Linked DNA regions of Arabidopsis thaliana. The protein of the gene in region 1 interacts with the protein of each later gene in a pairwise test. Each region holds a gene or a part of one and is shown in the gene's direction. Other genes may lie near its edges.

The links.
Region 2: the proteins of QQT1 (region 1) and QQT2 interact in a two-hybrid assay, tested with the Arabidopsis thaliana proteins (one study listed by BioGRID).

The regions. Positions count from the first base shown.
Region 1 is NC_003076.8:7,404,266-7,409,511, forward strand, and holds QQT1 (P-loop containing nucleoside triphosphate hydrolases superfamily protein), read left to right. Parts: upstream 1-1,764; 5' UTR 1,765-1,932; intron 1,933-1,956; exon of another isoform or gene 1,957-2,317; 5' UTR 2,318-2,321; coding exon 2,322-2,413; intron 2,414-2,720; coding exon 2,721-2,765; intron 2,766-2,840; coding exon 2,841-2,920; intron 2,921-3,010; coding exon 3,011-3,085; intron 3,086-3,174; coding exon 3,175-3,278; intron 3,279-3,365; coding exon 3,366-3,522; intron 3,523-3,614; coding exon 3,615-3,702; intron 3,703-3,801; coding exon 3,802-3,874; intron 3,875-3,951; coding exon 3,952-4,082; intron 4,083-4,192; coding exon 4,193-4,244; 3' UTR 4,245-4,487; downstream 4,488-5,246. Other genes in the region: VAMP714 (vesicle-associated membrane protein 714), read right to left, coding at 114-204, 540-703, 872-1,062, 1,170-1,389; NAC090 (NAC domain containing protein 90), read right to left, coding at 4,659-4,919, 5,012-5,246. UniProt on the Arabidopsis thaliana protein: Small GTPase that is essential for the correct formation of the tangential divisions in early embryos. Associates with microtubule during mitosis and may function in the positioning of the division plane.
Region 2 is NC_003075.7:11,571,066-11,575,927, forward strand, and holds QQT2 (P-loop containing nucleoside triphosphate hydrolases superfamily protein), read left to right. Parts: upstream 1-1,723; 5' UTR 1,724-1,862; intron 1,863-2,183; 5' UTR 2,184-2,223; coding exon 2,224-2,253; intron 2,254-2,429; coding exon 2,430-2,550; intron 2,551-2,649; coding exon 2,650-2,876; intron 2,877-2,985; coding exon 2,986-3,276; intron 3,277-3,363; coding exon 3,364-3,569; intron 3,570-3,646; coding exon 3,647-3,911; 3' UTR 3,912-4,080; downstream 4,081-4,862. Other genes in the region: TOM1 (tobamovirus multiplication 1), read left to right, coding at 200-272, 392-437, 544-607, 715-768, 855-932, 1,006-1,098; DER2.1 (DERLIN-2.1), read right to left, coding at 4,280-4,462, 4,555-4,608, 4,699-4,782. UniProt on the Arabidopsis thaliana protein: Small GTPase that is essential for the correct formation of the tangential divisions in early embryos. Associates with microtubule during mitosis and may function in the positioning of the division plane.

The DNA.
Region 1 (5,246 bases):
ACTCACAGTCATTTTCATGACAAAACCAAGGCTTCAAATCGAAATGATGCGACTGAGTTGATTTACAAAAACAGTGGTCCGTTTCAGTATACCTTAGATAAGGCCGCCAGATTTTAAGATCTGCATGATGGTAAAGTGATTCCTCCGCAGAAAGATGCGATTATTATGTACAGCAAGAAAACTATCAAGCATGTCAACAAGACCCTGCCGAACACAAACAAGAAAAGCAGTTTTGTTGATTAATAAAAGTGATCTGGAACTCAAGCATCAAAACAAAACAATAATGAAATTTCTTTAAGCAGAGGTGGAATCAAGGCAGTGTAGTTCCTATCAGCCAAAAATTAGATATTTTGTCGAGGAGAATTTCCCAAAATCGAAAATAATGTTGAATCTTAGAACTACTGTATCTCTAGTTTAAGAAACATATCAATAAACTATGCTGCAAAGGCGAGTTGAAACACCTAGAATGTAGAAGAGCGTATCTCTTAGTTAGCAAAGAAAAGGAATGAAGAGAATCTAGAAGTGAGAGAGATCCTTACAGGAGCTTAGCATTTTTCATCCAAAGAGCTCGGCGAAGGCGCTTAGATTGCTTCCTGAAGTGAAACGAGCTATCTTGCATTGTTGCTGTTTTATCAACAAGAAGCTCAATCCTATCACCTCTTTCCATTATCTTCTCAATGTTCTCTACCATGACCGATCGAATCTGTAAACACGATAACACAACAATGAGATAACAAACTTCATCTTTCACCCAAGACAGATTTAAAGAAGCCTGTGTGAGCCAAGAAGGCGTAATAACTCATAAAAATTCAACCTTTTCAATGGATATAGCTGAGTAATATCTAGAGATCATACGAAGAAACAATTATACCTCACTGACTTCTCCTCTAACACGATTGAGAGTATCAACACTAGGATTACTAGAGAAGAACTCCATCTGCTGATGCAAAACCCTTGAGAATTCATCATTCATTGCATAAGCTGGAGCATTATGAGCCACTTTGCCATAGTTTTTCATGAATCTCATATGAATCTCTTCCAAATACGAAAATGGAACCCTCCCTGAAAATCCAATCACCAACACATCAAAACATAAAACTCAGAATCAATTACAAAGACTAAATCTTCTTAAGAGAGATTACGATTCGGAGAAAGTGAAAAATACTTACTTCCAAAGGTATCATTGGCCATACAGAGAAAGGTAAGACCATCAGATCTAAGAATATGGAAGATATAACGATCTTGAGAGAAACAAAGTCTTTCATCGGAGATTTCCGGTGAAAGCTTCTCGAGGATCCGTCGCACCACGGCGCCTGTGTTTCCCGTAACGGCGCTGAATTCAGCTAATACCACGGTACCTCTCGCTACAACAGCATAGACAATCGCCATCGGAGAATCTTCAATTAGAGTGATTCGATGACAGAGAGTGGAGATCACGCGCTCCGGCGGCGAGAAAGTTCAACGTCGGCTTTGCTGCGATCAGAACAGAGTATAAAAATGCGAAGTTATAAGGTTAGGTGCAAACGTTTCGAATATAACCCCTTGTTTTATTGTTACGTTTTTAATTGTCACCTAAAATATTATTTTGTTACATTTTAAACCCTGATGCATCGGTTTACGGTTTACCAATTTATTAGGCCTTGGTAACTTATCCGAAAACAAACCGACCCGAAATTCACTTTTCGGTTTGGGTTCGGATACTCCAATAATAACTTGATCGTTTCCTTCTTTTTAATTTCGATTATCCGGTTCGGTTCGAGTATAGCACGAATAAACCGAATTAAAATTAAAGCCCTAATTTAAATATACCGATCGAGTCTTCGGCGAGCTTACTTCGCCTTGAATCGAGTCTTCGACGAGTCTCCGGCTGCGAGTTTCTCTTGCTCCGGCAAACAGACCTGTCATTGCTTCTCTCTCCGGCTAACTACACAGGCGAGCTTCTCTATTTATTTTCTTCTGTGTCTCCAGTTGCTTCTGATATAATGAATATGCTCTTGAAGCAAATTGTTTCTCTGCTTCTCTTTCTCCAGTGAATTGTTTGTTGTATTATAAACGAGGTTTAGGAATTGGGTTAATAATATTGGAGGATTGTGTTTGTATTCTGTGTCCGACGAACAAATGACATTTCCGATTTCTATTGTGCTACGAGCTCAGTGTTTAGAAGGGTTTTGATGTTCTCTATTGAATATTCATGTTATGTTAGTTTGATGATTAGATGATTTTGCTTTGCAATTACTGTGTTTTTTTGTCTGACTGGCTCTGATATTATACAACGTGTTTGACTCCGATTGGTATCAATCTTCTTCTTCGTCTTCAGAAGCATGGTGTTTGGACAAGTAGTAATAGGTCCTCCAGGATCGGGAAAGACCACTTATTGCAATGGAATGTCTCAGTTCCTCTCTCTAATGGGCAGGTTTCATGTTCTTTCTCTTCTCTTCTCTTTTTGGATCAAAGAATGAAGCTTACTTGGCTTTTGTATCTGTAATTCTGTTTGTATTGATTGTTTCGCTGTCCCTCGCATTGTAAAGTTTACAAGTTGCAAACTTTAGTAAATAATAGTGTTGAATTCCAGAAATTTGAATTGTCTGACTTTTGAGCAGAGTCATTGTGAAATGTTGTTGCCTTGTCTTTGTTTTTGGTAGAGAGATTTGCAGATTCGTGAGAACTTCTCTGTAAGTAAATTCTCTTAACGTTGAGTTACTATTTTGTTGTTGTTGCAGGAAGGTTGCTATTGTTAATCTGGATCCTGCAAATGATGCATTACCGTATCCTTTTCAAGCCAAATACAACAAAATTGTTAAAAATTGCAGGTGTATGTTGTTTCTTGACATTGATTTTAGTTATGAGTGTGGTGTGAATATAGAAGAATTGATCAAGTTAGAAGATGTTATGTCGGAACACTCGCTTGGTCCTAATGGAGGTGAATTTTGCCATCTTGATTTTCCCTTTTCTTCTTACTTTTGATTTTAATCTTTGGTCAAATTAACAAAGAAACTTTCTAATGTGACAGGTCTTGTATATTGTATGGAGTACTTGGAGAAAAACATTGACTGGCTGGAATCTAAACTAAAGCCTCTTCTGAAGGGTTAGCAACGATATGTCCCTTCTTCTTCTTCTTCTTTTCGTGGTCATAATATCTCTTTCTTAAAGTAAAACGTTTTGAATTGTTTGCAGATCATTACATTCTCTTTGATTTTCCTGGCCAAGTGGAATTGTTCTTCATTCATGACAGTACCAAGAATGTTCTCACGAAGCTGATTAAATCATTGAACCTTAGAGTATGTGCTTTACTTCACTTATTACTAACTTGCTAAATGAACCTTACTTAGGAGTCTACATATCTGATGAATTTCTTTGTTCTGCAGTTAACTGCTGTGCAACTAATTGATTCCCATCTATGTTGTGATCCCGGGAACTACGTAAGTTCGCTACTTCTCTCCTTATCCACAATGCTTCACATGGAACTCCCACATGTCAATGTATTGTCTAAAATCGATCTGATTGGAAGCTACGGGAAGCTAGGTATTAATAATCTATCTATGGTTTTGTTCTCATAACATCGAATTTTCAAATGTATACTGTGGACTCACTAACTAGGATCTCTGTGCATGTAGCTTTCAATTTAGATTTCTATACCGATGTTCAAGACTTGTCATACTTGGAGCACCATCTTAGTCAAGATCCTCGCTCTGCTAAGTACAGGTTCGATGTAAACATCATCTGAATACACATTGAACGGTTAATAATTATCCATTTAGAAGCATGCTCAATATCTCATGAGCTTGATGTTTCTCATTGCAGAAAACTAACAAAAGAGCTATGTAGTGTCATTGAAGATTACAGTCTTGTTAATTTTACAACCTTGGATATTCAGGTTTGCGATTTCCTTTACCTCTCTCTCTCTTTCTCTCTGTACAAGCATCTTTTCGCAATTTTCTTTTTTGTTTTCAGGATAAAGAAAGTGTTGGGGATCTAGTAAAGCTCATCGACAAGAGCAATGGATACATATTTGCCGGCATTGATGCAAGTGTGGTTGAATACAGCAAGATTGCAATTGGTCAAACTGATTGGGATTATAACAGATATCCTTTTTTAGCATTTTGGATTTCTTAACCATTACTTCTCTCAATAACTCTTGAGTTTAGTTTTACGTCTACTACAAAAGAATTGTTTCTTTGACGATAGTCTTCACAGTCGCAGCTGTACAGGAGAAGTACATGGAAGATGAGGAAATACAAGACTGAGAACAGTGCTTGAAACTTTATATAGAAGAGAGCTGGTTTAAAATATCTCTGAACCAAACCATTTGACGGTTTGTATGAACCTTTTTGTGTATTTTTGAGTTCGGTTTAAGTCTAAACAACATTGATTTACACAACTTCCTGGTTTGGTTCACTGGATTATGCTAATTTTCCAGACGACTAACTTTCTGCCAAATTTTGTCTTTAGACTTTTGAGTTTCTGAATCACACGTGCCCATGACTCCAACATTCTCTAGAAAACATCTCAAATGTCACTGTCTAGGTCATTTATTATTTCTCAAATTCTCACGTTACAAGGTAAAGAAAGAAAAAGAATCTTTCGGGTCATAAAATTCAAACTAACAATAAGCAATTGAAACAAGTTTAAATTTGCTTGATTATAAAATCTATATAGCTTCAAGGCCAAGTCAGCTGTTCCCAGTCCCACATCGGTTCTGATAGTCCATCAACAAACTCTGTGTTCATAGAGACATCAATATGTTCTCCTCCTGAAATCGAAGTTTCCAGTGAGCTTTCCACACGGAACGATGTCTCAGCTACTGCAACATCACTTGTTAGCATTCTCTCTGTCTGCAAAACTCCCTCAGGACGTCTATCAAAAGCTCTGGAGCTTCCTGTTGTTATGTAGACTCGACATAAACTGAACTCACGTCTCAGCTACATTTTTCAAGAAAGCAAAAACAAAAAATCTCGTTATTAAAAGTAACAAGAATGTTCTAATTTAAAAGTTTTTAATTATATGCAAGTACCTTAGGGATTGTGGAAGCGTTGACTGTTTCGTCAACGGCGTGGTACTCATTCATTTTCCATTTAGTTTTTCTTCCTGTGGGTGCTTTTCCAGTGTAGAAAACCATAGTTTTCTTTGCTCCAATCATTTTGTTGTCTTTGGAAAAGACTGGACCAGGTGATCCAGTTGCTTTCCAGTATCCTGAACCAGTAGTTCTACTCGGTCTGCCTCCTCTTGCTTCGCGTTCTTGTCGTGGC
Region 2 (4,862 bases), on another chromosome or scaffold:
GAGATCCATTTATATACATCTTTTGCAATTATTGGTGTTTCGAAACTGTAGATTGTGCGTGTTTCCTACCTTGTCCTTCTTTCATTAACTCTGTAACCATTCTTTGCTACCAAGAATCTGTGTGACCTTAGTCACTAGACATTTTAGGTGAATCAAAAGATGTAGAATAAGTTTGACATGTATTTGATGTCTCTATCAGATTGGTATCTGGGCATACATCTGGGTACATGATAACAGCACTGTGGAGTTAGTTGGAAAGATATTTATCGCAGGTAGGTTCTTTGTCTGGTCAAGCAAGTTTGCTAAAACCTTTACTGCTTAATCTATAATATTCCCTCTCTTATCTAAAATCTATATTGACCTATTCTTTTGGTTAATCTTCTTCTTCTAGTTGTGTCTTTCATCGCCGCATTAGGCTTCTTGCTGTATGGAGGAAGGTCTGTGTTTTTGTTATTTTCATATGTCTCATCATCAAAATGTCTGCAAGTTCTTCATTGGCTTTACTGGGCCGTCTTTTCTTATGTGTTTTTTTTTATGCCATAGATTGTTTTTCATGCTAAGAAGGTTCCCTATCGAGTCAAAAGGAAGAAGGAAGAAACTCCACGAGGTACTTAGATTCATATATCTGTATGTGAATAATTTGTCTTATATAGTTCCATAAAACTTTGAACCCAAACATTTCTACCTTCAAATATTCGTCTCTTTTCATTGCAGGTTGGATCTGTGACAGCTATATGCTTCACCTGCTTCCTCATAAGATGCGTTGTGGTAAGCTCAAAATTAAATCTTTAGCTTCCGTCATTGTTTTAGTTATCCTGTGATGTGTTATTTAATGTATTCCATGCAAACATCAGGTGGCTGTATCAGCTTTTGACAAGGATTTAACACTTGATGTTCTTGATCATCCGGTTCTGAACTTAATCTACTATATGGTAAGTAACACTACATCTTCATTCTTTCTCTTTCTTATTCTCATTCATTAACTCGAAAAAAAAAAAACTACAGGTGGTAGAAGTACTTCCATCGGCACTAGTCCTCTTCATTCTCCGAAAGCTACCTCCAAAGAGAGTATCAGCTCAATACCATCCGATCCAGTAGAAACCTTTGTCACTGAACCATCTCACACGGTGAGTATGATGCTGTTTAAGAGAAGAGTAAAGATTAAAAAAAAAATTGGGGCAAAAAATGAAAGGTGAAGAAGAAATCGGTGTGGAATCTGCGTGAGTTTTTGGAATGCACGTTCATATAAATGATTTTACAGCTTTTAGTTGTTGTAGCCCGCCGTGACTTTTGGTTTGGTAGTTTATGTCTGTTAAAATTATAAATTGCTCTTCTGCTACTTTGAAAAATCTGGTCAGTAGTACAAGAGGTTTAACATTTGTTGCGTCGATGGTTGATTGTTATGTTATGTTTGGTAAAAAATAAACGAATGCTCTTCTCCAGTTTCCTTTATGCTTTTGTCAACTGTTACATCTTCTTCTCCTAATGATTTGTATATACTTAAGCTTTTCCATAAAACTAAGTCCCAGTGAAGAAAGAAACTACGTAAACCGAGAAAACCAAGCAAAAAGAGGGTTTACACAACATAAAATGATTAAATTGAGAATCATTTGCATTACCTCGGTATTACATGGGCTGGAAATAACTTATTGGGCCTTGGACCTGATTTTCCAAAAATGGTCGCTCACATTAATATTTATATGTGATTTTACAGTGACAACTCCACAAATCAGCCCTAACTCTGTTTTTGTTTTCTTCGACGACTGAGGTCTTTTCTCTCTCGCTCTCGTCTTCCTCTTGATTCTCTTCTTCTTTTCTGGAGTTTCGCTGCTTTTTTAGCCTGTAAAAATGACGAAAATTTTGTATGAATTTGTGTGCTGATATGCTCGAATCCACATGTTACGCTTGTGTTGAATAATCATATCATTTGGTTATCGAATCAATTCTAGTTCCAATTTACAAAAATCTATCAAACTCTTTACGTTTTCTGGAGTATGTTGAGCTTGAAACTAGTGACATAGATGAAACATTAAAAAAACATGGAATTGTTAAGTTTGTGAAAATTGGATTCGTCTTTGTGATTCTTTATTCTTTGTCTTTGCTGTGATATATAAAGATTTTGTATAGAACAACAATTTGGGAGATGGAGACACTGAAATTGCTGTATTTGGGATTATTGGCAGATAAAAGATTCATACAAGAAAAAAGCAAATTTCGCCACTGATGGATCCTATGGAGTCGTCTAGTGAACAGGTGATGAGTTCATCTCTGTCACTTTAATGGCTTTTACTATTGGTTTATCTGCTTATACAATCAAAATGATATCATGGTACTGTTTTAGATGGTGTTTATTAGCCTAAGTTACTGTAAAATAACAAATGAAAAAACCTCTGAAATGAAATTGTATTTGTTGTTTTTACTTTTAAAAGGACATTGTTGAAGAGAGTCAAAAGCTGGTTGACTCATTGGACAAGCTTCGTGTTAGTGCTGCGAGTTCATCTTCTAATTTCAAGAAGAAGCCTATCATTATTATCGTTGTTGGAATGGCAGGTAATAATATCATTTCTCACTAATGTTTTAAGTTTTGGTTTCCTGTGAAGGGATTTCATTAGTTTGATCATGTGAGATGTTTGTTTGTTATATGTGTAGGTAGTGGAAAAACTAGCTTTCTTCATCGCTTGGTCTGTCATACTTTTGATTCAAAGAGCCATGGTTATGTGGTGAACCTTGACCCTGCTGTTATGTCTCTACCATTTGGTGCCAACATCGATATAAGAGACACTGTCAAGTACAAGGAAGTTATGAAGCAGTATAATCTGGGTCCTAATGGTGGAATTCTCACTTCACTCAACTTGTTTGCTACTAAATTCGACGAGGTAAACATACCTCTGGAATTAGTCCAGATGATTACTGATTTCTTCTCACATTGTGTTAGTTCTCTCGGTTTTCATTGATTGATCTGTCTTTGTTTGCTACTTGTTTTAGGTTGTCTCTGTGATTGAGAAACGTGCAGACCAGCTTGATTATGTTCTTGTGGACACTCCTGGTCAGATTGAGATCTTTACATGGTCTGCTTCTGGGGCTATAATCACTGAAGCTTTCGCTTCAACCTTCCCCACTGTTGTCACCTATGTGGTTGATACTCCCCGTTCCTCAAGCCCAATCACTTTTATGAGCAACATGCTTTACGCTTGTAGTATTCTCTACAAGACTCGGTTGCCTCTTGTCTTGGCTTTCAACAAAACTGATGTCGCAGATCACAAGTTTGCTTTAGAGGTTAACTTTCTTTAATTGCCTACTTTATTATTATTGTGTTGTAATATCTTCTCTTTAATCCTTTGGTACTGATTTGGTTTTATGCAGTGGATGGAAGATTTCGAGGTCTTTCAAGCAGCGATTCAGTCTGATAACTCGTACACGGCGACCTTAGCTAACAGTCTCTCCCTTTCACTCTACGAGTTCTACCGTAACATAAGATCCGTTGGTGTTTCTGCAATCTCTGGTGCTGGAATGGATGGCTTCTTTAAAGCCATTGAAGCAAGTGCTGAGGAATACATGGAAACTTACAAGTAATGATGCATTCTTCTCTTCAATTCACCCTCTTTTGTCTGCAAGTTCTACGCTCATGATTTGTGTTTTACTTCAGGGCTGATCTTGACATGAGAAAGGCGGACAAGGAGCGGTTGGAAGAAGAAAGAAAGAAACATGAAATGGAAAAACTAAGAAAGGATATGGAGAGTTCTCAGGGAGGCACTGTGGTTTTAAACACTGGTTTGAAAGACAGAGATGCAACAGAGAAGATGATGCTAGAGGAGGATGATGAGGACTTTCAGGTTGAAGATGAAGAAGACAGTGATGATGCCATAGATGAGGATGATGAAGACGACGAGACGAAGCATTACTACCTATGAATTAAACTCAAAGACCAGGCTTATCAAGACGCTTGTACTGGTTTTGTTTGCGTCCTTCCCTTGTTGTCCCAGTTGTGTAGTTAAAACATAAGAATTGATTCTCTTTGTGAGACATTGTCTAATGATCTAATGACGAAACTATAAACTAGCACTTTTGAAGACTTTGTACACAATTTGAGTTCATATGCACAAGGAGGAAACACATTTGTATCGGACAAGAAAAGCAGACAGAAAACTAGGGAAAAAAATCAGAGCCAACACTATCTCACTTCCACATTATCCACAACTATAAAGGTCAAGAGTCAATAACATTATCTGAGTACACTTGAACTGTGCGTTGTGGCTGGTGTTTTGTGGAGGATCAAGATTCAGTCTTGGTGGATTTCATCAAAAGGCGCATGAGCAAATCTCACATCTTCTGGCCTTGCAATCACGACTGGCTCATCAGCAAATAGGGCCTTGAGGAAAGATGGAGTTTTCAAGGGACGTCGATCCGTCATTCGGGGATACACAAATGCCAAGAAGTAGTATGCGTGGCCCGCTATCATTCCCTATAAATTTGGATAAAGGTTACGGATAAGGATGATGATGCACAGAAAGGGAAGAAGATATATGTGAAAGCGAATTAGGAGAGATAGCGTACCAGAAAATCCCCCCATGCACTTGCACCAACAAGGATAGAGAATCCAAGAAGTACCTGTAATTTCAGAATTTGGTAAAAGAGGCGATTTAAAGCATCAAACTAGTTAGGGAACTTCCGTGAAGAGAATGCAAAAGTCCAACTAACCCATGGTAAATAAGCTGCTGTGAAAGTGAAGAGGCCAAGGAAACTCATGTGGATGTAAGGATTTTGTTTACTCCATACATAGACCTACAGAACATAGGAAAAGTGTTATAGATGGTCTTGAGATGAATTCAAAATCATTTGAGTATTCGTAAAAATAGCGGTAT